Linked DNA regions of Alligator mississippiensis. The protein of the gene in region 2 binds, or shares a complex with, the protein of the main gene of each other region. Links are inferred from orthologs where the notes say so. Each region holds a gene or a part of one and is shown on either strand. Other genes may lie near its edges.

What was found.
Region 1: the proteins of TNFSF13B (region 2) and TNFRSF13C are in contact, whole or in part, in a crystal structure (PDB 1OQE), measured with the Homo sapiens proteins. The link is inferred for Alligator mississippiensis from reciprocal best matches to the Homo sapiens genes TNFSF13B and TNFRSF13C. Residues at the interface, in NP_006564.1 of Homo sapiens: Ser162, Tyr163, Asp203, Thr205, Tyr206, Ala207, Met208, Gly209, His210, Leu211, Thr228, Arg231, Cys232, Ile233, Pro264, Arg265, Glu266, Asn267, Ala268; in NP_443177.1 of Homo sapiens: Asp26, Leu27, Leu28, Val29, Arg30, Val33, Leu37, Leu38, Arg39, Pro41, Arg42.

The regions. Positions count from the first base shown.
Region 1 is NC_081827.1:96,811,177-96,827,312, reverse strand, and holds the start of TNFRSF13C (tumor necrosis factor receptor superfamily member 13C), read right to left. Parts: upstream 7,913-16,136; 5' UTR 7,783-7,912; coding exon 7,656-7,782; intron 7,102-7,655; coding exon 6,904-7,101; intron 1,238-6,903; coding exon 912-1,237; 3' UTR 1-911. UniProt on the Homo sapiens protein: B-cell receptor specific for TNFSF13B/TALL1/BAFF/BLyS. Promotes the survival of mature B-cells and the B-cell response.
Region 2 is NC_081824.1:356,269,296-356,283,892, forward strand, and holds the start of TNFSF13B (tumor necrosis factor ligand superfamily member 13B), read right to left. Parts: upstream 6,031-14,597; 5' UTR 5,868-6,030; intron 4,443-5,867; 5' UTR 4,371-4,442; intron 920-4,370; 5' UTR 904-919; coding exon 451-903; intron 347-450; coding exon 241-346; intron 1-240. UniProt on the Homo sapiens protein: Cytokine that binds to TNFRSF13B/TACI and TNFRSF17/BCMA. TNFSF13/APRIL binds to the same 2 receptors. Together, they form a 2 ligands -2 receptors pathway involved in the stimulation of B- and T-cell function and the regulation of humoral immunity.

The DNA.
Region 1 (16,136 bases), on a different chromosome or scaffold from region 2:
CAAGGTACAGGGGGTATAATATTGCCCAGGGTGCAGTACATCTCCAGAGGCAGGCACATAGCTCCCATTCCCTGTCTGTGACCATCTGACACCAGTGTCACTTGGCCACATGAAAGAGAGATTTCCCCTCCTGCCTTCCCTCACTCTTTTCTTGGAAAGAGGCACTTCTCCATCTCTTGGCTTCCCACCCCTTGCAAGGAAATTCACAGTCCTGCAAACAGATAGTAAAGTTTTGCCACTTGTGTGAGATGCTTCTAGGAGGTGGGTAACTGCATGTGCTGGTACACAAAAGATCAAGGGGATCAGGAACATGATCATAAGGGAGACAGAAGTTGAATGTGGTCTGACAGACACCCCCGCTCCCCCAAAACCTAAGAGTGAATCTGCATGAAGGGCTCAACTCTGTTCCCATGGACATCAATGATGAAACTCACTGAGGTCAATGGTGCAGGGTTTTGCCCTAATTTAACTCTCATGCTCCAGTTAAATGTTTATTCAATAGACTTTTTATCCTCCTCTTTGCATTTCCCTGTCCCTCTCCTATAACATGCACCACCAACTTTAAAGTGCGATTACTAATTCATCCATGCCTGCTGATGCCGCAGTCATCTATGTGTTGGCTCTGAACAAAGTCTACATATGTTGGCTCTGAACAAAAATGCTTCTTCCCCAGACACAACTCTGCCCCAGCTATCATAGGGAAAAACAAGGGTAAGTTGGCTTTGCTCTACAGGGGTTCCTGATTTCAATGCGGGTGTGAAAGGGAATATATAGAAGGCAAAGAAGGCTGACCTTGCTTCAGACTAGTTCTGATTCAAGTCATTTTCATGCAACACCTTCTGCACTCCAATGCAGGCAATTTTCTCATCTGCATTGTGAACCAGCTAGTGTCAGCCCAACTTTGCCAGTTCTCAGGGTCTCTCCTCATTTGGAAAGCTGTTTTGAATGGTTTTGGTGGTCACCAGGACAGTGGCCCCCAGCTCAGTTGCTGGCAGTGGAAAGCCATGATCCCATTCTTCATTGCAGGGGGACAGGGCAGAGAGATGAATGACATCATTTCCCACACTCCCCTGGTAGGCTAGTTTCCACTTTGAGGTTTCTCCTCTTCCAGTTGGCCCAGCTGTCTTCAGGGAGCCATTCAGATGTGGGCACGTGGCCAGAACAAGATCATCTTCTTCTGGAAGCTTTGGTCTTGTACAGGCCTGGCTTTCAAAGGAAATAACACAGTCCTGATTTTCTACAGGGAAAGGAAAGAGATGGATTAGTAAGGTGTCATAAAGGTGGGGGTAGACTGCATGGTACAGGGCACAAAGGCAGGAACCTTCTGCCACAATATCCTTATGTGAATCATGCAAAATGAAGCTGGAGTGGTGCCGTGAAGGAGGGGATTACAAACCTAGGGGATGTCATGAGTGGGCATTCCCCCTGCCATCAATAGGCAGCTCCAAATGCCCTCTGGCTGTCAAATCCTGCACCCCCAATATCTCATCCTTGCCCCTGCTGTCAAAATATCCTTGTACTTTCAGTGACAAATGGGAGATGTGTGGCAAGGAAGAAATCCTGTCTTTCATCCCCACAAGAGGCCTGGTGTGCATTAAAGAAGTTTTGCCAACAGATTCCAGTTCAGCCTGCTGACGGACACCTTACATCCACATCCAGAAGAGCTTCAGGCATTTGCCGGGCAGGCACTGCATGTAATTTACCCCAATCTTTTAATAGGGGCATGAACTGGGATAGCCAGATTTGGAGTAGACTCAGACAATTGCATGCAAAGGAAAATGCAATGTGCTGGCACAGTAGAAGCTTGGTGAGCCAACCAACAACTATATCACCTTCTCCAGCAGACATGGGGGCCCTGCCTCAGCTCCCAGACCTGCTTCTTCAGAGACCTGCACCTCTCCAGAGAATCACTACAGAGGAAAGGAAATGAGGGACCAGCATATGCACTGGGGAGATAGGAGCATGTCTGAGGGAAGGATATACTGAGGCAGGCTCTGGATGGACACAGGTTATAGTCTCAGTGAGCAGGATACCCAGTGAGATTGCTGTTTGAGAGTCTGTGGAATACAGAAAGTGCATTTCAAGGGTGGGGGGGAATGGATGAAGGGGGTGGAAATGTAGAAGATGTTTCTGGGGAGGCTAGTACTTATGGGGGTGCGGGTGAAGAAGCAGAAAGGTGGACACTCAGTCAGCATATAAAGGAGCTTCATCACTTCAGGAACCTGTTTTCTATCATAGATAACAACTGCCTCCGCTAAATCCATTTAAAACAATTAAAGGGTGAATGCAGAGGCAAATCTGCCACGAATTCAGAGGGCGATGATGGAACAACCAACTGCATTAGCATTGACTGATCCCTCTAATGCAGACAAGCCTCCAAGACAGCCATCAGTCCTTCCAGTGGTGCCATGACTATTCCTCACCAGCACTTCAAAGCCCATTCCTCTGCTGGACCCCCACATGCCCAGTGCCCTCTCAAAGACAGGAGGTAAAGAGGCAGATGGCTCTCTGGAGTTACGGCCTCAGCCGGTGTTCCCCTGCAACCTCAGTTTGCACGCCACCTCTTGCTTTGGAAAAGAAAAAAAAGATTTTTGCCTCAAATTATTTTTTGTTTGCTATTAGGGAAGAGAGATTTTCTTCCCTATAGTATTAGGAAGAGAGATTTTCTCCTGAAAGTATCACTTAAAAATAGAATTGTTTATGCACCCAAAATACGTGTACCTGCTCTGATGCTGAAACTTTTGGTTTGGAGTCATATGAAACTTTCTTTATGTGCAGAACTGAAGTGGCGTCTTTCTTGGTGGTTAGGTCTTGGGCTCAGAGTCAAAGGTACATGCAAATGGAATACCTAATGTGTGGGGCCTCATTCAAGGATGTCTGAACACAGAATATTTGATTCTTCATGCTTATCGCCTCAACTTGTCATTTCCTAACTTGTTCACGGTTAGATTTCTTTTAGAAAAATCTTTTAGATTTCTTTTAAGATTTCCTTAACTACATTTGATAAAAATTCCGCCTCAAAACTGAAAGGCTGCAAATGATTTTTCACCCTGGCTTTCACAAATACTATGAGGAAGATAGCCACGTAACCAGCAACATCATACTGGGACCCACAGGGCTGGTTTAATCAATATGCTTTCCACAGGGAATTTTCCTGTTCTTCCCCCACCGCTCTCTCCCTCCATCTCCAAAACCTTGGCTTTGCAGAAACTCACAAGCAGAAGCAGAAGGGTGAAAAATACAGGAAAGCACATCTACATCTCTCCCCGGAAGACTCTGATATGCTCAGAGATGTGAAATGAAGCGTAAGTTTCCGAAATGAGAGCATGGGGTTGAGTCAGCGATGAGGCATGGGCTTCCTAGGGGAAAAAGACATGGCCACACCTTGCTATGGCCATGTCTTTCCATCAGGGAGCAGTACACCTGAGAAAAGCAGAAGGAAGGTCAGCTATGCCCCATCAGGAGGGGGGCGGGGAGGACGGAGCAGGACACCTGTCTTCCTGAAAGTGGTGTCATTAACTTTTCATGGTAAAACAGATCTGCTGAATGGGGGATGGGGTGAGGTGGGGAGTTAGCAAATGAAATGAGGACAGAAGCCAAAGAAAGGAAAAAAGGGGGAGCAGGAAGCCTCACAGTAATGGCTGCTGCTCCTCCCCCAGCCACTAATACCCACATATGCTCTGTGCTGGGGGACAAGAGTTCCTCCTGCTCCTCTCCTGCTCCATCCAAGCCCTCTTCAAAGACCCAGGAGTCAAAGGAGGAATGCAGTGGAGCATGCCCTGTGTCCTCCTCATCCTCTAGCCTGATGGCTGATTCACTCCCCTGCCCTTGGTTTCTGTTCCCCTTTCCCTGATGGCTTACTTTGGGTTGGCCCTGACCTATAGCCAAGGGTAATGAGAGAAAAGTTTAAAAAAAGGGAAAAACATAGGTTGGGAAAAAAATCTGGGAACCCTTTCAGACTGTGAAGAGAATTATCCTGTAGAGTGCCATCACAGGGGAAAAGCAGAGGTCGGTGGCTTGGGACAAGGTTCTGGAGAACACACTGCAGGGAATGGCTCCCTGGGAAGGGAGAGATGGGCTGATGGGCACTCTTTTATTTCTAGATTCTCTGATAAGCACAGAGCTGGATGTTTCTGCAGAAATGATCATCAGCAAAACAGTGAATGAAAAAAAGACTGAGGCCTATACAACTACCAGCTTTACTCACATATTTATAGTGCCTATATGCCTCCATTATTGTTTTTTTAAGATTAGACTCCACATTGTCACCTTCAAGTTTTAGAGCAGTGATTCTTAACCAGAATGCCACGATATCCTTATAGATTCATAGATTCATAGATGCTAGGGTCGGAAGGGACCTCAATAGATCATCGAGTCCGACCCCCTGCATAGGCAGGAAAGAGTGCTGGGTCTAGATGACGCCAGCTAGATGCCTATCTAACCTCCTCTTGAAGACCCCCAGGGTAGGGGAGAGCACCACCTCCCTTGGGAGCCCATTCCAGACTTCGGCCACTCTAACCGTGAAGAAATTCTTCCTAATGTCTAGTCTAAATCTGCTCTCTGCTAGCTTGTGGCCATTATTTCTTGTAACCCATTATTTGGGTTACAAGAAATAAGGTTACAAGAAAGGATCTCAAGGTACCCATCCTTGGGTACCTTGAGATCCTTTCAAGGGTGCTGTGGGATCCCTGGCAAGGTTAGCACTGTTAGGTATGCATACATGATTCACAAGATAAACCCAGAGCTTTCAAATAGCAATCCATAGTGTCAAAAGCATGCTAATCGGCTGTAATCTTTCTGAGTTCTTTGCAACAGAAGAATGGCTCCAGTATTTTCCTGTAGTCAAAAATCAAGTGAAAACTAAGAGTTGACATTTTCCGAGGGCTGCCTCAAGTCTAAAAATGTTGAGAACCATTGCTTTGGAGCCAACAGTCCATTGAGATGGAAGGGATAGCTCATGCCTCTGAGAGGGACTGATTCCTGGGCAGTGCTCAGAGCCCTAAACTCTCGCTGTGAATTGAGAGTTCCTAGCTTCTTAGAGGGCCAGCCTTGTAAACTATGTTGTTTTTTTTATCTGCAGACCCAGGTCCATTTTGCTGCCCTGGACACATTCAGAAAATTTTCTTTACAGAGAAACGGTGCAAAACCTCAGGCCAGAATTTCAAATCCTGACATCCATTTGCACCAGTGCAGCTTTGCAAACATGAACACGTGTTGGCAAAAACGACAACTTTTCTATTGAGTTATGAGCCATTTTGTAGAATCAAATAGCAGTTGATAACTCTGCAACCAAGTTTTGTAAGGCATTTCACGAGACTGTGGAAAAGCTCTCCTTCTCTGTTCAAGTCTGTCAGTTTCTAGAGTATTTCCACATTTCCTACAGAACCCTACTGCATTTCCATGGAGCAGCCTTTGTAACAAGTAAGAGAACTCGTTACTCTGTGAATACAGATAAAAGTATGGAATATAAGAGTTGGACAAGGTTTGTGTCCACAACATTTCAGCTGGGTTGAACCTACTTTGGAAATGTCACTCTTACTTTTTGAACAAAAGCTTTAAAACTTCTGCCTCAAATTGGCAGATCTGACAGAAGAAAGCTGGAATAGTATTTTGCCCTGACTTATCTCACTCAGAGTCCTGGAAGATCTTATCACCTTATGAATGGAGCCCAATTAGTCACATTAGTTTATGGAGGAGAAGGTTAAGAGGCAATTTAACCACTAGGAAGCAACTAGGCAGGAAGAATTTATCAGATGCTGGAGGGTTCTAGAGCAGCGGTTCCCAAACTGTGGTACGCGTACCACTAGTGGTACACAGACAACCTGTCAGTGGTACGCATTAACAGATTTATTATAATTACTTCATATGATAAAAATTTGCTGGTGGCACATAAGGTTGTATCATTTTAAATTGGTGGTGCACAATCTGCCAGAGTTTGGGAACTGCTGTTTTAGAGTAAAGAACCCTCTAGCATCATACATTTCATAGATTTTTAGGGTCAGAAGGGACCTTAGTAGATCACTGAGTCCGACCCCTGCCCCGGGCAGGAAAGAGCACTGGGGTCAGCTAGGCCTATGACCTCTTAAAGACCTCCAAGGTAGGGGAGAGCACCACCTCCCTTGGAAGCCCCATTCCAGATTTTGGCAACCCTCACTGTAAAGAAATTTTTCCTAATGTCTAATCTATATTTGCTCCCTGTCAGTTTATGGACATTGTTCTTAGTAACCTCAAGAGGTGCCCTGGTGAACAGAGTGTCCCCTATTCCTTGCTGCCCTCCCTGATGAATTTTTAGATGGCTACAAGATCCCCTCTCAACCTTCTTTTGCTGAGGCTGAAGAGATTCAGGTCTCTCAATGTCTCCTAGTAGGATCTTACCTGCAGGCCCTTAACCATACAGGTAGCCCTCCTCTGGACCCTCTCAAATTATCCAGATAGCCTGTTCTTGCACAAGTTAACCAAAGCAGCCACTGGAAAGGGACTAGATCTGGACCACGTGCACTGCGAGAGAAGCAGGGTGGAAATGGGTCTCAGATATCTTCTTCCTGCCTAGAAGACAAAGGCCTAACAAAATCCAGTCGTTTGAAGAAAAAGTCAGCAGAGTGTATGCTGCAAGTAAGGCACAATTTTTTAAGTGACAGTAACGAACCATTGGAAAGACTTCAGGGGATGTGAAAAACTGTCCTTCATGCTGAGTCTTTAGTCAATTAGGACAGAATATCTGTCCAGTGATAGCCCCTAATTCAGCTGCAAAGGGTTGGTCTTGACAAAGATACTACTGGTTGAGGTTCTATGGCCTGTCATGTAGGAGATCAGGCTAGAGATGGTCCTGAAGGTCCTCTCCAGACCCTGAGTCTGTGTGTGGGAATACATCTATGAGACAAGGGAGGGACAGGAGACACTTACCCTTGGATTCTTCGTTTGGTTTCTCCCTTTTCCTCCGCCTCCTTCTCATTTTCCAAGTAACAAATCCCCAAACTGATGCCAATACCAGGACTAGCCCCATGAGAACAGGGATGCCAAAGATCAAAACTGGGCTTAGCATGTTCCCTGAAGGATGTGGGGGCAGTTGAGTTGGAGTGGGGCCCATGCTGGTGAGGTCTCCTGTGGAAGGAAGTAAAGCAAGGCCAAGAGCAGTGAGGACTTAAAGGCAGCTGTCTTGCCACTTATCTTGGATGGCCCTAGCTTTGAGGACGGGGGCTAGGGAGTTCAAACACATGGGGTAGCTCCAACATTTTCAAAGCAAGAAGGACAAACTGTCTTCCCGACACTTGCCCATCCACCACACACTGAAGTTCCTCATCTCCTTCATCTTCAAAAGGGTCTTTGCCAGGCTGACGCACAACCATAGCAAGAGGTGGGGAAACTTGCCCCTTGCCAACTTTCCCATTTCCATGGGGGCAGGGGTGGCAATCCTCTCATGTCTTCTTGAGTGTTAGGGCTATATACCCCTTTCTCCCCATCCCACTTTCCGGCCGGGGAATGACTGTCCTTTCCCTCCTACCAGGAGAAGCAGCCCACCCCCTTAATTCTTTCCATCCCATTTCCACTTCTCCCATCCTCTGTGCAGTCCCTGGGATCCCTTTCCTTTCAAATGGGGCCCAATCCCCACCACGGGCCCCAATCAGGGGATGCAGAGCCTGCTACCCTCCTCTCACTTGTGTCTGTGTTGGAGATCCCAAACAGATGGCAGCTGAGGCATTGCTTGGTCAGCTTGTCGAAGCACAGGTCCTGGGGACAGTCAGAGCTGATGTCTGCGTGTTTGTTTGTCCAGTCCAATGGCATCCTGGAGTCAGATTCAGAGCTGCGGTGCAGCGCAGCAAGTTAGGCAAGTGCCGCCCAAGTGTGAAATCACGAACTCTGTGGCCTGTCAGAGGGAAATACAGTCTGTCAAGCTGGGTCCGTCCCCTGAGGCTTCTCTGTGCTTCCCCCAGGGCGTACCTTTATCTGTGGGAGGAGAAGAAACATGCATGCTGAAAACATCAGCCCAGCCTGCCCATGTAACACCCCGCAGCCAGTACTCCTCCCCTCTGGGCCTGCACTCCCTTCGCTCAGCTCCTCCCCCCTCCACCTTTGCAACTCCATCTGAGCCTGAACTCTCTCCCATCTGGCCAGTGTACCCCATAAACCTATCCTGCTCCCCAGGGTCAGTCCTGCAATGCCTTCTCAGCATGCCCTCCCCACCCTCTAGCCCATTCTCCTCCACTGCCCTGCCCATGAAAAACTCCCTCAGACTAAAACTATCCCCCACCTTCATTTGCAATGCTCCATCATCTGTACCCCCCCACCTGCTCAGCCTGGACAATGCCCCTCGGCTTGTACTGCCCCCACCATCAGCTCCAGCAGTGCCCCTCTAACCCCATACCAGTGTCTCACCCAAGTCTCTCAGCCCCTTGCCTCCAGGAACTGAGTCTTAGTTGAATGTACATTTCATAAAATAATATGAAGTAAAACAAGCTGCAAGAACCCAGAGGCTTTCCCCTTTGAGTCTCCATCCCTTCCTTCTTCCCACCCCCAAAAGAAAAGCTTTAGGAGTGTTTAAAGGAAAGATGTGCTAGGTGTTAAACAGCCAGCACTAAATCCTGTCTCACTCCTCCCACAACCCTCCAGGATGTGGTTCTGAACATCCTCTTCATCCAAGGGTCCTCACCTCCTTGGAGGAGTTCATGTGGGTTGCATCAGGTGGTGTGAAGTATCACATACTAACTATACATTAGCTGGTAATGTTGCAGCATTTAGTAATGATTGTACCTTGCAGTAATTGCAGTAGTTGCAAGCATTTGATCAGAAGATGTAAGCCTTGGGCTAGCGAGGGAAAAATTCTAGCTGTCCCATGCTGGTTGACGTCAGCAGATCCAGCTAGCACTAGCAAAGATATCCTCCCTCCCTCTTGCTCTATTTTATTCTTTTTTCTAATTCTAAGCACATGCCACACTGACAACATTAGCAGTTTAACTCTCTTACTTTCTTTCTCATTACTTAATAAGCCAGGGCTTTCTGGAAATTTAGAGCTTGTATATAAGAGCAGGTACTTAGCAGATACAGATACTTAGACATACCATTACCTTTTACATAAACTACATTATATTTAGCTAACATATTATAACATCACCTTTGCATCCACTCCTATGTTTTTTCTTACATGTTATCCCTCTCCCATTTGCAATGACAACCCATTTCCTGCTGTACTGGGAACAGACTTTTGAAATAAGTAAAAAAGTCTGTTTCCATAAACCAACATGTTTTTCCTGTCTAATCCCATGTGCAACAAAATGCATTTCTCCCATGTCTGTTAGCATGCCAGGAGGTGCCAACAGTATTCTGCTTGGATTGTAGGGGTCTAGTATATGATAAAAGTCTAGATCTGAAGACTAGGGTAGCCAAGATTTACTCTCCCTTGCGGGTTGTAACCATGTCAGAGGTGTGCGCTTGGCAAGGAGAGGGAAAGGCAATAAATACCTAAAGAGATATTACCTAATTTACTGCTGAACACTCTGCACAACCAAATTATTCTTCTTTGTGGGTAGCACAACTGCTCTTACTCTTCTAACTGCTGTGTGTGAGAAGATGATCCCAGGGCCCTATTCAGAGATATTGATCTATAGCACAAACTCCACAGAGAAGTCTAGACTACACAGCAGAGGATCCTTTTGGTGTCTCAAAAAGCATCTGCACGAATAGAAAGTAAATGCATCTTCCATGGCACCTAATTGGACAGAAGACTTGTTAAGTGAGGTATTCCCAGGGAGAACTGAGGAATTATTGTGTAGGTGGGACCAAGGATTCTCGCAAGGCCAGAGACCTGACTGGTCTCTTCCCAGGGGAGCAACCTAACTTCTTGGGCCACATCCAGATGAGCACAGATGTGTGGTAAGTGGCACCGCAGACCTGTCTGTGGCACCACACATGCAGGTGTTCCCCGTGCTGCTACCCTGCAGCATGAGGGGTTTTTTTGACCGTGGGAGACCTTGTGTCTAGTCTATTGCCCTACAGGACTGTTGTACCTCTATAATCCTTCCACAGCTCTTTGGACTATACTCGAATAGGTTACGACCACCTCTTTGAGATAGACTTAATGATAGAAGCGTACCCAATCCACTAGCCACTCAAATAGAGCCAAAGCCAGAGAGCTGTCTCTGAAACTAGTATAATCCAAATGTGGTAGCAAAGGTCACTATTTCCCTGGACTCTGGGATCAAGGGCAGTTGCTACTGTCCCTTGGCCAAGACCAGAGTGGTTATACATGTGACCTGTTTTTAGTCTTTCCAATGTCTTATCCACCTGAAGCATGGGACAGACATTCAAGTTGGACGTTGCATTTACTTTCTAAAGCCAATGCAGACTCAGATAATCTTACCTAGCTACAGAACCCATATAACTGGGCTGCTCTTAGGCTTCTCTGTTCTCCTAACTGGAGTGTACTCTTCGGTTCCTTCTTCACTGTGTTGCACAGCGGTTCAGAGATTCAGAGCTGCCCCTTCTGAATTAGGCTCCCAAGCTTAAGGTGGATACAGAGGTCCAGCAAATGAGTCTTCTTTAGGAGGGAAATAAAGACATCTGGTTCTGATGTCTGTGGCACCTGAATCCTGCTTTTATATCACTAGGTGGACAAACAAAGCTTCTGTCTTTCCTGGTTTCAGTAGATTTACATGCTGTGTCTGCATACTGCTTCCCTCAGCTATCATAATCCACTTTTCCTGTACAATGTAAGACCTTAGAGAGATATTGGCTTTCTGTAAACAGCTTGCTCTCAGCTAAGGGGAATTGTGGAAAAACCCTAACCCAGGGGTGGGCAAAATGTGGCCCATGGGCCAGATGCGGCCCGCCAAGCCATTCTATCTGGCCCATGGGTCCCCTAAAAAAATTAGAAAATTAATATTAATTTGCCCTGGGTAGCCTGTCATGCAGCCCTCGATGACTTGCCAAAACTCAGTAAGCGGCCCTCCACCCAAAATAATTGCCCACCCTTGCCCTAACCCCAGACTGACAGAGCCTAAATTTTGCAATTTTGGTACAGGATTAATCTTGGGAATGCAGGGCATACTGCAAGGTCTCCCAGCAAAGGCCCCCGCCAATACCAGTACCTGTGGAATGAGATAGGGCGGGGAAAGTCAATGCCTTTGGGACCTTGGAATCTGGTTGTCCTAGGGGAATGATTCTGGCTTTTGTTACTTTGTGTTCAGATAATAAACTGTGACTTGAAGCAAGAGCTTGAAAGAGATTTGGATGTTGCTCTGGCTTGTTCTTGGGATAGTGAATGAATGAGTCCACCAGCTTGCCTGGGGATGTGATGGGGTATGTGGCCTGCTTCCCCTGCCCTACCTCTGGAAAAAAGGACATATTTAGTTCTTTTCCAGTCTGCTGACCCAGGTGACAGGCAAGTGCTGTTAACCTTTTCCAGGCTGTTTCATCTTCTCACAGTATCTTTCCTCCAATTTCTTCAGAGTGCCTGTCAGCCAATACCCCCCTCTCAACCTATCCATGCATCACCCCCTTAGCCTCCACACGTTACAGTCCTTTCAAGCCCCACTCAACATGTACACACTTATATTCCCCAACACCAGCTTATCTCAGGCCACATATTCCCTGGCTTGACCAGACCTTCATTCAACATCACGTCTTGCCACTGAGTAACTCTTATTAAAATGTTCACCAACAACAGTTATACAAGACCAGGCCACCACATTGGAGAGTGCAACCTCTCATCACTAGTCAACAGTGGAAAATTAAGATAATGCAAACAGTGACATGGAAGGGGAGTCGCTCATGGGAGGATGTGATGGGAACGAAGGAGCCTCCACATTGGATCAGACTATTAATCTTTCTTCTCCAGTATCCTACCAGGTTAAACAAGCTGTCTCCAGCAGGCTGTCTCTGGTCAGCCTGACTCAGACCATGATCTGTCTTTTCTGGTATCCTGCTTCTGCCAGATGGGATGAAACAAGAAGGTCATTTTGTTGAGAAGACCCTTTGTTCATCCAGTTTGGTGTCTGACCGTGTGGGGGAAGCATACAGGAGTATGACGTTCTATCCTAGCCCTACTGTGTGACGTGGGACTCTCGTACTTGGTGCACCACAGCAGTGGAACTAATAATACCTCCTACCTGTCTCCAAGAAAGGCTTTGGGTTACCCAGGATATTATACACAGCAACAGGCCACTAGTGTTATATCCCAGCACTTGCTTTGTCTGAGCCAAGGATTGACCTCCTTTGTCCTCCTCTCCATTCTACCTCTGGAGAAGAGCATTACTTGCTGAAGGAGTCCAAGCAAGTGAAAGTCGAGACTAAAACCCTCCTTTGGTCACTGTCCGCTAGTCCCACATCTCATGTAATTTCACTTCCTTTTTCACTTGAAAATATATCGTCTCATTCTCTGGGCTGCAGTTCTCACCTCCCCCTTCTCAGCTGGCTACTCAGTTTCTGTTAAGCCTCTTGCTTTAGCTCACTCTGAATGGACTTCCTTGCCAAATTAAGGTTTGTTTTCCCCTTAGATGGGTCTGCAGATCTCCTTTTGGTATCTCAGTGGTGGTTTCTGTGCTTATGTTTCAATGCTGCACACAAGTATCAGGAAAACTAGAACTCTCGGCATGGGCCTGGGTTTACTAAACCACTCCCCTCTCTGATCTTCAGAGCCACAGGTGCCTCAGAACAAAGTTGACTCATGTGCAACATCACGTGTCTTTTATTTGTCTGTGTTGAACCAACTTATTTTGCTTCCTTTTTTTCATCTACCCAGCCTGTGCATTTAAACCACACTCTTCTCCCGGCCACTGAAGCACCTTCCTGCCTGTTACTTTGAATTTGCAACTTATTGGGCTGACAGCTAAGAGTTAAAAAGGGGGCGAGAAGAGCGATGCTTTCTGACATTCATCTAGATTTCCCTTTGGTCTGTCTCATCCATACGGCCCCAGCTTTATCTTCTCAGACCACCTGAAATAAAACCCCACAGCACTCAGAATTGTCCCACATGCAAGTTTGGTTTGGTTCAGTTGGAAAGGAAACATAGCAGAAATATCTCTGCAGGCCTGAGGAAAGCTGGGAGGGATTCTTGCATGGTTTCTCTTGCTCTGTTGCTTGGATATGAGGATATGCCCCTTTCCTGCCTTCTGCACTGTTCTCCCCTGCATGGGTATCCCTGCTGAAGGTCAGGACTGTCAGGTGGGTGCATGCTTTTTTCCAACAGCAGAGGGCATTGTGGGCATGCTTTTTATTGCCTTGATGCTACACTCTTAAAGGAGCAGGGTGAGTGGATGGGGTGGGAAAAGGACTCCTCCAAAATCATGTGCTATAGTTATGAATGTAGGATTGGAAAGAGCCTGCCAGGCCATTAAGTCTAGTCCTCTGCACTCACAGACAACCACTGTAAGAGCAGGGAATGGTCAGATGATCTAAGAAGAGGACCATATCCTGGGCTACAGAGGGGGCATGTCTGCATGTGCTATTAAGGTAAAGCTTATCACGCTGGAGTTTATTGCTTCTGGGCGCACTGTTTGCACGTGTGCCCGGGACTGCAACACGTTGAGCTGGATTGGAGCAGCCCCAGCTGGCAGGGGACTTATGGAGGGTGGGAGGGGAAGGTCAGCTTGCTAGCCCGGGGCTGCTCCAACCTGGCTTAATGTGCTACAGAGGGGCTGGCTGGTGCACAAGAATGCTCCAGTGTGGGGCTAGCCAGCAGTCAGTCCTCACACTGAATCACCCTTGTGCCCCAGCCAGCCCATATCAGCATCTACAAGTGAACTGCTACAAAGTAAAAAAAACTCTGCAGCAGGATAGTAGTTGTTTTTACAAGTACTACACTGCTGCAGAGTTAATTAGTTTCCTGCAGCATAATAGGGTTGCACGTGTAGATGTGAGACATTTACTGCAGAGCTAATTAGTCTACTCCACAGTAAATGCCTCGTGTAGATGTGCCCAGGGAGGCCCCAAAATCCCCTTCAATACAACCTGACCTGGCAGAAAAAAATTCCATCCTGACTCCAAAACTGGCAATTGGTTTGCCCCTGAGTCCATGAACAGAGCCCTCTGGGAAGGTACCTGAGAGGCTGCTAAGTACCAGCAGAAGCACCAGTCAGCCCAGTTGTTTGGGTTGAGGGGCAGTAAAAAGAACCATTCTGACCTTATACACTTCATCCTCACACACAACAATTTCACTTTTAATAACCAACACTTCCTCCAGACCATGGGAGCAGCTATGGGGACCAAAATGGCCCCACAGTATGCAAAGCTTTTTATAAGCCACCTGGAAGGACGACACCATCAAACCCTTGCTATACTTAAGATATATCGATGACATCAGCATTTGGACTGAAAACCTGCAATCTCTGATTGAGTTCCATCAGAAATTCAATAGTCACCATCCCTCCATCTGACTATCTCTTGAATACTCCAGCACCAACATCTCCTTTTTAGATATGATGATTAGTATCCAGAATGATAAAATACAGGCCACATTACACAAGAAACCCACAGACCAACATACATACCTGCACAGAACCAGCAATTACCCTAACCACACCAAAAAATCTGTGATATGCAGCCAAGCCCTCAGATACCACTGAATTTGCACTGAGAAGAACACCCGGGATTGCCACCTCACCAATCTTAAAAAGACCAAACAAGCACACTCCTCCAGAGAGACAGATCGCACGTTTGAAAGAGCCACCCAGATACCATGTGAAGAATTGCTGCAGTACAGAAGAAATCACGCGACAAATCGCACACCGCTGGTTATGACCTATCACCTCTCCCTTGAATCCATACGGAAAATCCTCAAACAATTGCAACCCATACTAGAAAGAGACCCCATTCTTAAAGAGATCTTGCCAGAGCCACCCATCCTAGCCTTCAAACAAGCACTGAACCTCGCTAACTTCATCACCAGAAGCAAACTTCCTCAGGCCCAGAACACACCAAATGGATCCAGACTGTGCCATGACAAGAAATGCAAAACCTGCCCCACTATTACTACACCCCACAACAGAGCCATCAGCATTCCCGGATCTTACAGCTGAACCTCCAGAAATGTAACATACCTCATCCAATGCACCAAATGCCCTGATGGAAAATAAGTAGGAGAGACCAAACAACAACTGAACACCAGAATGAACCCACACTGGAAATCTATCAAAGACAGGAATACCCAATTACCGGTGGGGGCACATTTCTCACAAGAAAACCACTCTCTCTCCAATCTCTCAGTCCTGATCCTCAAAGGAAACTTACACAACACTTCCCAGAGACGAGCCTATGAACTCCATTTCATCAACCTCCTGGATACTAAAACTCATGGACTAAATATAGACATTGGATTTATGGCACATTATAACCTGCCTGACATCTGACTCCCCAGGTACTTCTCCGCTATTCATCCCCCTTCTTTCCCCACCACCCAGGCTGTCTCTTACACACTGACTCCTCAATTTACATCTTCGCTGACTGCCTACCTTGTATGCATACCAGCGCAGTCTCTGGCTTCTTTACTTTTCATTCCATACTTTTCACTCATCCCCAGCACTGCTAGTTCAGAGCATCCAGACATTGTGAATCAATACCTCCCTGCCTCAAATCACATGTCCGAAAAATAATATTTAAATATATATATATATATATATATATATATATATATATATATATATATATATAAAATGGGTTTTTCCTTTGTTTTCGAGCTGCTGAGGCTTTAGGGTTCTTCTGGGTTGTGTTTTCAAGGTTTTCTCCACACCAGGAGTGCTAGCAACTTAATCTAAGCATAAGAGTGATTAAGCACTAGAGCACTGAGCTACTATGCTTAAGATACATCAGCTTGTAGAGTCAGCAGCACATAAAGGAGTGGTATGTCAAGAGCATCAGATCCAGCTGTCTTTGACTTCCCAGCCTAAAAGACTGGGTCCCTACTTACAGCCAGTTTTATGGACAGACTTTGGCATGGCTCAAACCCATGCCTATGGAGCTGTAGTAAGATGCCTAAACCACTCTGCTACCATGCACCAGCAAAGTTCAAAGACAGAGACTAGGAAATGAAAACCATTCCTGTGGGCTGTGTGCAGCATGTCCAGGGCTGTAGTATCAGCACACATTGTATGCCACACTTCAGAGAGCCAGGCAGAGATGGACTTACACATGCCCCACTGGTGCAGTGG
Region 2 (14,597 bases):
ACTGGGTGGGATTAGGGGAAAAGAAACCAATATTCCATTCAGGGAATACCTCCAATGCTAAAACTCTTTGCTATACTGGTATAAAACAGAAGGGATTCAGGTGCCTGCAAAAGCCTGCTTGCAGCAAAGAGTAAGAATTGAGCTGTGTGGCTTTCATGGAATCCCATGCTAAATCCCCTACATTTCTGTAGTACCCAGACCTCTTTTCTCCAGCAATACCACTCCCCCCTTGCTCCATACCTGTTTCTTCTGTGGGTTGAAGTGACCGTCTCTCCCTGCTTCTACCTTCATTCCAGCCTTTCTTTGGGTCACCTTCACCTGCCTCAGAAGCAGGCAGCCTGTTTTCCTAATGATGACAAGCAAAACTATAGCAATAGAAGCGGTCCAGAATGCTTACCCCCTCCTCTTCCTGGCAGTCAATAACAGGTCTGAGAGGCCACTGAAACTCACCTGCTTGGTACTTGCTGCTATCTGCAAGGAGGAGAAAGTAGGGATATCCACTTTATGCTTGTCCAGAGATACCAATGGCTGGGTTAGTGGTGATCTTTTCTGAACCTTGTAGATCAGCTCGCTGCGGAGAGTTGCTAATTCTGCTTTCAGTGTGATAACATAGTAAAGAGACACTGCTGCAAGACAAGAGGACAGGAGCATTGCAAGCCACAGGAATGTGACAGAGAAAAGTCCCTTGTTGCTCAACCCAACAGCATGGGGGGCAGGAGGAGAGGAGTTGGTATCCTTCTGTTGGACGGTGTGCAAATAGTCCACAGATTTCATCCTTGCACTTTCCTTACTAAAGTCAGAGGGAATATTCAGTTGCAGCTTCTTCTGAGGTATAATCCATTTTGTCAGTTGCACTGTGAAACTAAGGGCATCCAGAATAAGTGACCAAAACGGCCAGATCATTTCCTGTCATATGAAGCTGTTGATACAAACATTCAAGTTTAATGAACAGGGTGAGTGTCTGTCTAAGATCCAGTCTCCCCTTAGTTTTCTCCTTTCTGCTCTGCATTTTGGCAATTCATATTTGCCATCAGACTGCTTGCTTAATCTACCTTCCTCATTTTTCTTTCAACTATTAATTTTTATGGCAACTTGCCACTGCCTTTATATTCAGACACAACTGATACCAGTTATATCCTGCAGCTTATCTAACAGGGCAGAAGAAATGAAAGGCTTACTGGTAGGGTGGCATATTCTTTCTGATACTAACTGATATAGTATAATCTTTAAACAAAGAAATCTGTTATTTTTCTAAGAGTGGAAATACATCTAGGCAAATGAGATAATTCTTATCATCAGGAGGGTAGGGAAGAAAGGCTACAAGACAAAAAGTTTCCCAAGTGAAGTGGCAGTGTTGCCATCTCATCAATGATAGAAAGTTGCAGGCTCACAGGTAGGTAGAAAGTTCAATAGTAGAAAGTTGCAAGTATTTTTAACAACTTTATTTCTAACAACTTGAGAGAGAATAACTTAGTACAATTTATTGAATGCATTTTTTTATTCTATGATAAGAGTTCAAGCATTTGGACAAGGGATTATACCAATGACTGAGAAAAGAACATAGAGCAGCTAATTCCAAACATAGGAAATAAATGTAAATCTACCTGCTTCATTTTATAACAATTTTATATCAGTCAATTTTCAAGGTCCTCAATTATCTAGCTGAAGGTCTAGGCGTAAGACTCAGGAATGAGGATTGCAGTTAGCGGTTTAGTAGAACTTTCTGTCACAAGGCTTTCTCTGGGGTGGATCCAAGACTATAACAAACACCTGTGGGTAGTAATCTCACTACCTTCCACTGGTATGTGAAGTGTGCTTTTTTTCTCCTCTGACCTTGACTTTGCATTCTCCAACACTGCTGCATAAAAACATTCTAAGTGTACATGATAAAAAAAAGAACAAGCTATTCATAACTGATGTTAAGCATATTAATATACTAGTGCAAGGTGCTCAGATGCTATGATCTGGGTGCTAGAAGAAAATTCTATATAAAAACCTTAGTCTGTCTGTCTGTAACACTTTATTTGCACTCTGATTGGTTGTCTTGGCAGCCAATCACAATGCTTACTGAAACAACCAATCAGAGCGCTCTGCACAGAGACACATGTGGTGGAGCACTGCCATGACAGTGGGGATGGAGGCTCCTTGGAGGCGGCACAAGGTGGGGTGGGAAATGGGGTTGGGACCATGGTGGCAAGGGGGAGACTGGGGTCAGACCCACTGTGGCAGGGGAATGAGGCAGGGGGTAGAATGGGCCTGGACCTGAACCACCGGGGGGAATGGGGTTGGGCCCAAAGCGATGGGGGAAGGGGTTGTAAGGGAGTAATCCAAAATTACTAACAACTAGCTAAAACCTTTCTGGGATGTTTAACTGAAAATTTCATTTCATGAAAAAAAAAGCTTGCCCATGGTCAACACAGAAAGGTTGTGGTCAAATCAGGAACTGAAACCAAAATATGCTGAGTTCCAGTACAGTGCCATCACCACAAAAGCATTCTTTCTCTGTAGGAAACTTCATTATGAGATGTACTTGTTTTAACATGAATCTTGAATAAGAGGGTGAGATGACTCATGCATTTGAAAGATGGCTCGGGGATAACAATCTAAGGGCGCATTCACACATGCAAGCACATGCGCTTGCAGCAGCTCAGATAGAAGCGGTACAAGTTTGAGCCAGGGATTTTTGCCTCAGCGCACATGCCCAGACATGTACTTTGGTGTAGGGTAAGTTGTGCCACTTGGGGCAAAATAACCCTGCCTGGCTTCTCCTGGATTTGCAGCCAGGGCCAGCACCTGTGCTGTTCCCATCAGTACAAGAACCTGCCCTGACAAGTAGCTCAGGGCTACTCCCTCTCAGGGACTTCTGGGGCCCAGCCAATTGGTACCTGTGGACACTATCCCTTGTACCAGCTGGAACAGCCCTGAGAGTTCCCTGTACCCTCTACCCACTGCAGCAGTCTGGCAGTGGGGGCTACTGCCTGACTGTGACCTGCTGCACACCTGCGACCCAGATGGGGATGGCACAGCCAGTAGAGGCACGTGCACCTCTGGGCCAGCTGCCAGTGGGCTGTGGCTGCAGGGTACTACTACCATGTGTGCCCTCTACCTGGCCATCTGGGCATGTATCGCCTGGAAGATGTTCCCAGCATGGTGGCCTGCTCTGAACTGTCAAAGCATATCCTTCTGACCCCAAGTGGCCAGGAGGTCAGCTACCTCCATCTGGGTCCAAGGTTTCAGCTCTGAGCAGGCAGGGTCCTGCCACTGCCCTCCCTAGCAGGAATTCTGGTGTTCCCTATTGGGAAACTGAAAAATCCCTGATAAAAAAATCCCAAAGTCACTCTGTAAAATACCCTGAAATCCATGTTCCTCCACAATTAAAACAAATGACCACTATATAGAGTGAGACACAGAGATCAGTTGGGCAATGTTTTATTGATATATCTACAGTGTTAAAGCAATTTGGACGCTTACTAGTGTCTCTATCATCAGAATAAAATGAATTCTAAATACCTATATGTTTTGTTGCCCCCCACAGGAGCCACAGTCCCCCCACGGGGGCCAAATGGCTCCTGCAGGGGCTACTTCTCCTGCAGGGCCCACATGCCCCACCCCCCCAGTTGCTCCCCCAGCCCCTCGGATTGCTGCCCCACCTGGCCCAATCCCCCGCCAGCTCCTGCAGCCCCCCAATGGCTGCCCCACCCAGCCCCCAAAACCCCTGCATGGCCTGGCCCCATCCCCTGCTTGCACACCCAGGCCCCTGATGCTTGCCCCTCCACCTCAACATGGGCAGGCAGCGTGCTTCAGCACCAGGGTGAGGGCCAGCCATAGAGATGTTCTGGCTGCTACCAGAGCATTTCTGTGTAGGACCCAGCCTTCAGTTACCTCAGGGTACAGCCCAGGACCATGCCCTGCCCCACTTTGTTCCACTGCGGGTTTTTTGACCCCTGGATATCCAGGGGTCTAATTTTGCCCCTGTGCTGCAAATTTGCAGCACAGGGAATGTTTTCTTGTTCCTGCACATGCCTCTTGCAGCATTTCAAAGGAGTTTGAGACGCTACATGATGCACGTGTGCGCTCACCTGGATGAGCCCCAAGAGTTTAAAAACAAATTTGAAAAATATTTATTTAAAAAAAAAAGGGGCGGGGGGGAACATGTCAGTGCTATTATGTAGATTAGGCATTCACTGAAGTCCAAGCCAGGCTACAGTTGTACTCCATAAGCAGAAGGATTAATAGACATTAAGTAATACAATACAGCATGGGTTCCTCTATAAGGGTGTAAAGCCAGCCTGGCCTACCTGGGTGCACAAGATGGCACAAAGCAGCAGAGATACCAGGGGAGGGATTAGAAAAGTGAGTATTCATCTTACCAAACAGGTTATTCCAAGTACTCTCTTGGGATGCCTTTATTTCCAAAGTGGTCTATCAGCTTCTGTCCATATCTGATACATTTGTTCCCCATAAAGAAAAGAGGTTATATTTGCTTTGCTCCTACTTAAGAGGCATATGCAGAGTTTTCTGAGACAAAGTGCACATTTCTGCTAAGGTGATTCATAGCACCTTCAATCATTAGCAACTGCCCACATGATACACAATTCAGGAAGTCTCCAACTCATGCAGGACCTGGCATAACGATGAAACTCCAAATAGAGCCATCTTGGCTGTGCATTTTGCATATGTTCATTTTTTAAATCAATAACCTTAATGCTGGCAGTGAGTGGAGTGCTGCCCATACGTTTTAGGCAAAAGCATGTAATATATTATTTGTTTAAAATAAAAAAATATATATTTTAATTTTTTATTTAAATTATCAGGTTAATACACATATATAAATTATATCTTTTTCACCCTGCCTCTTCAGTACTTTTGACACAGGACTAGGCACAGTACATTGTAGATAACTGAAGAATAAGAAGTGTAAAGGAGCCACCCATTTTGGTAGCATTTAGAGAGAGTAATATAGCAAAATAACCCATAACATAGCCAGGTTCAAAAAGAGCATACAACTTCCTAATTCAAAAGTGATAAGAAATTTTGTACCAAATTCTATAAAAATCAGGATCAATACTGAATATGCATTTCTTTTTGGACAGTAAAATGTGGTTTCCTGGCTTCTCTGCTGTACTTTGTGTAATGCTATTTTATTCCCCTTTGTTTTTCCTTCTTTCCAACATAGATTCTAGTATCCCACTTACCTCCTTCATAAAAGGCATAGCACTTAGTTCTATTCAGGCTGATTGCAATAGCAGTTTTCTCAGAACCTCTTCTCCTGCAAATGCAGGACTATTCCTTGTTATTCACCCCAGTATACAAAGCAAATTGATGGACAACCTGCATCTACTAGCCCATTGAATGCTTGGTAAATGTGGCTATTAGAATGGATTGAAAGAGAAGGCAGAGAATAGAACAGAAAGAGGAGAGATTAGAAAAAGACTAATATTGAAAACTGGGGAGGAAGGGGGATTGGCAGGAGGCGGGGGGGGGCACAGAGGAAGCAGGTTACAAACAGAAAGTAAAACAATCAGAGACATTTGAGCAGATTTATATTTTGGAAGTTTCCATTTAAAGGAAACCCCTAAGTCCATTTGGCTTGAGCTGGACAACACAAAGCTTATCATGGCCTGAATTATGAGTAGTTTCATACTCAACAGCATAAAAAAAATATGGTTGCATTTCTCTTAGACCTTCAGCACTGCTGAGCTAAAAATGAGTTGATAACGTGATATAAACAAGAAGCCCTCCTGTGCCATCTGGAAGCAGATGGTCTCCCAATCTCATAGGCCAAAGTACTCATACAAACCCATTAGCAGCAGGGAGCATAGGTCTCAGGGTCTTAGTAGTGCCAAGGCATAACATTATATACTCACAGCCAGATCTTTCTATACACTGCTGCTGAGTCGATGTGGAACAGAAGTTGACTGCCTCTGTGTTGCCTTTCACTTTCAAATTTTGTAAATGGTTGGCACAGTGAGCTGGAAGATAAAACAGTCTTTGCCTGTCCAAGACAGCAGGTGGAGTTAGTTCCTTTGCTGCTTCCTGAATTGAGAGGCAGTATTTATCTAGGACATTGAACATAATGCAATGATGTCATTGCACAAATTATTTATCTTCCTATTTTTGAAAGTTTGCACTTTCTTGGGGTGTAACACTAGGGTTTTTATTCAAAAGAAAGCCTGCAAATCCTAAACACAAATACACAAGTGCCAAAATGCCTAAACACACAAAATACCTCATGACATACACCCACGCACAGCCTGAGGCTGACAGAAAAGTAAACTTCTCCCATGTCAGTGTGCGCACACATTTTTATACTTCCACTTACTAATGGCATATAATCATGTTGCCATATCATGAAATTAGATTCGAAGAAAAAAAAAAAAAGAAGCTATTTCCAAGATATTCTGATGCAACTAGTTATTTGGGATTCCTAACTTAAAACATTTAAGGAGTCTTTTAGGAAGACTCGAGAGAAAATAAAACCCTTCAAACAGTTCCTCACACTGAATAATTAATATCGGAGACCAATTAGTACCTCTAAAAAAATCCTGGTCCTTATGACTAGGTACCAATTTTTAAGGTACTGGGATTTACATTTTTAACCATATTCAACATAAACAAAATGATAAAGATATTTTCAACATTAATTTGCAATGAATTCCATGACCTAGAATTCCCTAACTCCCAAAAGTGCTTCCTTCCCCTGATTAAAAGCCACTCCTAGGGCCCTGGCAAATATTGCAATATGTGTTAATCCAGGATAGAGCTGCCCCCTGCTTGATCCCTGGAATCAGGCTGGACAGTGCCTCAGGTGCCAATATGGCCCTAGCAGTTGCATGATTTGGATTAAGAATTGTTATGCTTTATCCCAAGCATCAGATGTGCATAGCAGGACACATGATGTTTGGGATGGGGCATGAAATTCCTCAGATCCCAATTGTGCCCTTATTTTCACACCTGCCAGGGGCATTAGTGTAGTTATAAAATACTTGAAGGGGGGTGGGGGACAGACAACATATTCATGACCTGTATGTAACCCTGTCAACACAATACTTCAAGTTTCAAATATTAAACATCCCAGTCTTACGCTGTTTAATCAATGCTGTTTCATTTTAGTTATAATTAAACTACCTGAAAAAGCAAACCAGATGACATGCCCAGATATTTTGAATGCACAAGACAGACATAACCACAATTATAGATACTGTCAACAGGTTTTTCTACTGAACAGAGAAAAGGTTTTGAGAAATACTCAAACTCATGGTTTCCGACTATGCCTTATTCACAGACAGGCAGCTCTTCACCCTTGTTTTGACTTCTCAGTAGTGCAGCCTCCTCCGAATTCATGTAGTGCAAATATTATATTCCTTTTATCTAATGTTTCTGTTGACTTAATTTGTGCCATCTATATATAAATACATTTATCAGCCTGTTTATCACATTGCACTACTTATATTGTATACACACATTGCATGCATGCAATATATAATTTAATGTAGTAGTACTGAAAGCACGTATTTGTATACATTTAATAAGAACTTTTACATCCTCTTTTTATATTTTAAAAGTATTCAGTATTTAAATATTACGGTAAATGGCTTTTATGAACTATGATGTATAGTTTCATTGCATCCAGGTTTTTTATATGTCAAGCAATCCAAGTGCCTTTTATTCTGTACTTGATAAAATCAATTGTCTAGTAATTAAGTGTATTTAACTACCTTTCAAAAATTAGACCTAGTTCTTCAGGGCAGTAGCTATTTACATTACCTGTGTGCATGAGGAACATTCACAGCAGTATTGTGCATTCAGGTACAATGTTTTATAAGTGACACAGCTCTTCCTTGCATTTATCCTTTCATTTTACTTTTATAGTTGTTTACCTTAGAACGAAATGGATGAGAATTTTGGAAGCTCCAATAGCAGGTTTCAAGTTTCTGTTCTCCATGAGCACATTGACATGAGACATTTACTGTGGAGCTGCCTGAACATCTCAGCGTCTACATATGAGGTCCTATTAGACTGCAGAAAACTAATGAACTCTGCCAAGGGTTAGTACTTGTAAATACAAGTATTGTCCTGCTGCGGCATTCTTTAGTGCACAGCAACACATGTGAACACACTGATGGGGCTGGCTGGGGCATGAGTGTGCTTCAGTGAAGGGCTGTCTGCCAGCTAGCCCTGCACTGGAGCACCCTCATGCCTCAGCAAACCCCTCTGCAGCACGTTGAGCCAAGTAGGAGCAGCCCTTGGACTGGCAGGCTGATCCCCAGGGTCCCCTGCCAGCCAGGGCTGCTCTGACCCGGCTTAACATGCTGCGGTCCCAGATGCACATGAAGACAGTGCCCAAGAGCAATAAACTCCTGGTACAATATGCACCAGAGTTTACTGCTCTGTGCTAATAGTACATACATTTAGATGCACTCTCTAGGTATGAAGAGAAATGGGTGAAAGTAGTACTATGACCAGTTTTGTGAATCAGGAGAGAAAAGCACCAAATTTATTAAGTGTAGAGAAAAAAGAAAAAAAACAAAACAAAACACTCTATCACTAAATAGCTGCAATGAACAAAACTAACTGTTAGTCACTTTTTCTGAACTTAGTGGCTTATCAATGATAGTATAGGCAGCCAGATGTACCTTGAGATGTACCTTGAGGCTAGCCTGATACAAAGAAGACTGAGAGAAAGGTAAACTGCTAAGTAATGGCTAATTGAATAATAAATGCATAAGCTTTCGTGGGCAAGATACTATGAACGGATATATGCAGAGCAAGCTATAAAATAAACAGTGATTTAAACACAAAAGATGAAGTGAGCTCTTATTCACAAAAGTGAAGTGGTGAACTGGAACAGAGATGCCTAAGGTTCGTCTTTACCTTGCTTTCTGCCTGGCTTCAAGCTAACATGGCTAACTACCACTCTCTGCTCTACAATATCATAGTTCTGAGAACACATTAAGAACAAGAAAAGCCTAGATAAGACCAGGTATATAACTAGCAAATTTTTAACTGGTCTCAGGATGCTTACTCCAAAGGTGACTTAAGAGGTTTTTACATTGGCTTTGTATTTTCACCTCATTTTCAAACCAGTTCAAGTAGCAAAGTATTCCAACAGGTCTCAGTCCTCTGGGTAAGATGGAGACAGCCTAAATCAGAGGTTGATAACCATTTTGGCTGGAACACCAAACATACCCCATGCCTTGATTTGGCATGCTGGGGCAGACTGGGGTGAGGGGGTCACAGCCTGATCCTCATTGCTGGCAGCACCTGCACATGTGCCTCTGGGTGAACTGTGAGGGAGCAGGCCAGGGTTGTGCTGCCTCGGCCCCTTCCCTACCCTGCGACTTAGATCACAAGTGCAGTTCCCACCAGCCTGGAGCCCAGGTAGCTATTTGCAGCCTGCCTGCTGCAGCTGGCTAGAACTCAGGCTGGCTATGGCAGACAGCTGCAAGGCTGCAAACAGTTGCATCAGGCTCCAGAGCCTCAGCACCAGCTCCAGGCTGGTGGTGGGTGCACATGTGACTCCGGGTTGACGGTGAGGGAGGGGCCTAGAGCAGCATAACCCCAGCCCTTCCCTACCGTTTGCCATGAGGTTTGTGTGCAGCTGCACTGCCCCAGAACCCAGCCAAGAGTCCTGGAGCAGCTGTTTGCAGCCTCCCATTTCCCTGCCATAGCTGGCCAGGGCTCTGGGCAGCTGCTGTCAGCCATAGAGCCCAGGCTGCTTGCAGCAGGGCTTGGGACCTCCCCGCTGTCTGATTGTGAGCAGCCCAGGCTCTATGGCTGGCACCAGCTGCCCAGAGTGGGCTGGCTATGGCATGCTGAGCAAACTGGCCTCATACCATGGTCTGGCATGTGTGCTGGGGGTTGAAGATGCCTGCACTGAATCTTTTTGCAAATGTAATAAGGTGCAATGGATGGCCAAGTCTAGATTCAATACTGTTACTTTCAGAGAGGGAGGCCAAGTTATTAGGTTCAGGAATCAATGTCACTAATTTAGTAATTGATTTACTATCTTCCTCTGAAGTAACAGAAGCTTTTCAAGAATCTGGCATCCAACATGGGCAGCCTCTATCCTCTAGGTACATTGACTTATTCAGTGAATCATTTCAAAATCTCTGCCTGTTAAACACACAGCAGTTACCATACAATCAGAAGACTACATTCATACTGAAGACAGGTCAAACAAATAGGAACAAGACATTAGTAGCACTTTTAATGTATCAATTTATTGCATATGTCAGTACATAAAAATAGAAAATGTGTTTTGTAAAATCAATTGTATTGTAAAAACCAGAATAGAATGAAAGTGTTTGTAAAAACTGCCATGGTTAGCACATATACTGCAACATTTATGCTTAGTTTACAAGATATAGAATTAAAAAGTTCTTTAAAAGAAACTCCTACTTGAACTGAATAAAGAAAAAAAAAAAACCAGAAGAAAATGCATCACTTGAACATTCTGAGAGTAATTCTGAATTTGAAATATCAGTTTTATTTAAATACTGAATATGATTCTTGCATATACTTTACACTTCCGCATGGTTCTATTGTAAACTATATGGACTGAACAATATTATAAAACTTACTGTCAACAGGACATACTAATCCTGGTTTGAGCCTGCCATGTGCAGGAGGCACTGGTATTATTTTTGGCAAAAGTGCCTCTTGCACAAGTTGCACATTAAAAAAAAAAGTGATGAAGTGAAATATGAATGGAGATATAGGTACATCTCTGCTAATTTCAAATGCCATGTCTTGGGATTTGAGGGGTTCAAAAATTCAGCCTGGTTTGTCACCACAGAGCACCCAAGATTGACATCACCGATTAGCCAGGAGATGCTGACATGCATATTATTTCATACTATATAGATGAATTCATCCCGCTCAATATATATCTACCCTTACAACTGGGAGATTGTCCACAAATATCAAGTGTCAAATACATTTGTGCTATATTACTCATAATTTTACCTGAGAACGGACATAAGGGCAGCTATATTAGTCGTTTTTTCCTTATTTAAAATTCCAGCTTATCTTTGTGTTTCACAGTTTCAAAATTTGGGGCTGGGAAAGTGTAAACATGGATCAGTAGACAGTCATAAGTGTTTCCACAGATTAGAGCAAAAAGGAAAAAGTGCTTGTGCACTGGGTAACTTTTCACAATGACTCTATTAGCAGTTAGTCTACTTTGTCCAATTCATTTGAAATCTATCATAAACCTTTTATAAAAGACTGACACCATCCCTACTTTTAAACCCAAAGGTGACTGTGTAAATCCTGTAATCATGGTCCTCACTTCTCAAACATACGCATAATTCATACTTCTCATAGTTAAACACATACTCTTTCATATTTTTCCCTAAGATGGTATATTCTATCTGATGGTGGCCACCCTGCAGCACAAGTGCCATAAATGGCACGAGGCAGCTTGTGTGTGTGGCATATGGCATATCAGAGAGGGAGTAGCAAGCACAAGGACAAATAGGGCAGGAAACAAAGCAGCACAACAGGCTAAGCGGGGGAAGGGGAGTGGCATGGCACTTGGGAGGAGTGTAGAGCTTACCTAGAGATATGCCAGCCAAAAAAGGTTGGGTCCCACTGTTTTATACAAATGAAAGCTGGCACAGATTAAGTTGTCTAATTCCTACTGCATTTTTCAATTAACATAGCTAACCATTAATCTGACTCTTGGCAGTTTTAACATATTATTCAGTCTTCTAAACAACTATCCATAATAGCTGCTGCTTAAAACTTGAAAGTCACTAGTAAATAACTTGTTACTGTAAAGTTTGGAAGTGTGTATGTGCAGACAATACCCTTCACTTGTGACTGACTGATGTTCCAGCTGGAAAGGATTCCTGGCAAAAATAAAAAAAAAGACTAATTCCCCACTGTGCTACCAATAGAAATACCATTTACAACATTACAGAAACATTAATAACACTGGTTTATGTGCTCTCCATCTCCCTTCCCAGAGATTTCAAAGCCTATGGTTGCACTCTTACTAAAATTTAATTTTTCATCCATGCTGTTCAATACGACCACTAATGCCACCTCTAAGACACAACAAAGGATGGAAAATTAGTGTGTGGTGCTGGTGAGTATCTTGCTCCTCAGTGTAATAACCCTATGCATATAGGATATGTTCTTATGCCTATATATTCATGACAACATGCAGGCTTTCGGTTTTACTACTGGAAATCCTACAGACACTAAAGGTGAGAAGGTAGGGCTTGGGGGACCAAGGATTGTATAGAGAAAGTGCATGGCATAAACAGGTCTAAATGGTCATAAATCTTGGTTTTCTTCCTCCCAACCATAAACTCCTATGCACAAAAACTGCTCTGACAATTAAGGGCCCATCTAGGTACTACCCATACAATGAAAGCATAAAGAGCCCTTTGCAGTGTCAGTTTATACTGAGGGGGAAGAAGAAAACAAAAGCCAATCGTCTCATGTTAGAGTTTAGCTTCTGCCTTGTAAACCCATATTTTATGCTGAGCGTACTCATTTAATCGAAAATCACAATAGCTCTTGAAACAACTATTTACTGAGCTGAATTTATACCTTTTCATGAATAATAAACTGCATGGTCAGTTCTACTGCTAAAAAAGCAAGATAGCAATGCTTGTCCCACTTAAGTGGCTACAATATATTCATTTTACTTTCTCTTGGGCTTTACTTAGGTTCAAATCTAGATGGTTCAGGGGGAAGAGCAACAAGGTGTAGGAACTATGTGTTGTGACTATTAGAATACACCAGTAAAATGAATGTTATGATGCATCAAAACCTTTTTCTGTGCAATTGTTTGCTATTTCTACATAATACAGGAGAAAGAAAAAAAAGGCATGCCACACAATACTGAAAGAGCAGGATACCACAAGGAAGTCAGAAAATAGAGCCAAATCAAACTGTAGCCAAAGAAAATGTAGAAATATTTTCATGGTTACTCAAGGAATTGTAAGGGCTCTTAGCTGCATCACTACAGAAAAAAAACAAAACACTTACCAGGTAGATGGGCAACAATATAAGACACCACACACCTTTGTTTAAAACCCAGGAAGGAATACTTCTGAAAGTTACTCTGGAACAGAAGGGCAAGGATCTTTGTGGGTGTTATCCCTGCATGATGTATATTTCCTGGATCATCACTCCAACACTACCACTACTCTGTATTACAGAGATATTTTACTTCTACAGTCAGTAATTTTTTTTTTTTACAGTCAGTTAATTATGTATCCAAGCATGTGTAGTACCTTGTACTTCTAGTCATAGAGCACCTTTTCAGGAAAGCAGCTTTATTTATTGATGTCAACAGAATTTAAGCACAGGCTTAAATTAGGACAAAATTAAACATGTGATGAAGTGCTTTTCTGAATGAGGGCTTACCTGTAATAACAAAAAGGCTACATTTAGAGAATTCACCCTTATGAGCCATTGTATTTTAGCATGAAAAAGAAAAAAAAAAAAATCCTTTTTCCATACATATTTTTCTTCCATTAAACTATTTTTGACCAAGCAAACTGATTTAATTACTTGCTGCAGCTAAACTAAGTAAGGGATTTATACATATGCACTAGTAAAAGTTAACCAAACTGGAGAGATGGCTTTGGTGCATTCGTTTTGTAAGGCTCCTCACACTCTGTGGTCATAATCAGGCTCTCTCACTTCATGATTCAATATTGTTGACAATAAGAGTGGTTACTATTAGCACTGACTCTTAATATAGCTAAAGCAATTCACATTTGTGTTGAGGATACAAATTGCATGCACACTGTCTGGTAGCATTTAGATAATTTAGGAAAACAAGTGACTCAAGTATTAAATAAAAGCTGTCTGTTTTCTAGACTTTAACAAGCTAGGGTTTGTTCAATGCTTATTTACACTGTTGCTATGGTATGGGTAATAATGGTAAATTAAAACTAAAAATGTACTTTATATAGCTTCTTTTAGAGATGGAGGTGAAGGGCACAGATGTAATTTTTAAGTTTGCTTACTTTTAAAAGTCAACCAAAAGCATATTTCTACTTCTTCCATAGTTAGCATTGCTCTCCCCAGTGTTTTTCCTTCCACTCTAGGCACCCATACCTGAACTGATCTGATGCTGTATATAATGTCAATCAGAAGCACATTCAACTAACAATGGTTAAGAAGTGGGAACAGTCAGTTTAGCAAGTCATACCTGGATTGTATATTTTATCCCTTTTTTGCCAGTTTTCTTTTTCTGAATGCAAACTATTCTGAACAAAAACTATCTGCCTCTGTGTAACTGGTATAACTTTATAGATTCTACCAAAATAGAAATACTGAAATGAATATAGGAAAAGTAGCTTTTCTTCTTGACCTGATTTGTAATATATTACATCATAAAAATAGATTATACTTATGCATATACGATCCTGAATTATTTCTCTGTCATGAATACTATTTACATTACTTAGCACATTAAAAGTCTCCATCTTCGATAACAACGCAAGGAATAAAACACTACCATGCATGGTATACTTAAGGTAAATCTTAGAAATGTTACAGAACATATTTTGCTAACCATGATTGTCCAATCAGCCAATACACAGAGCAGAGAATACTGAAGACCCTCC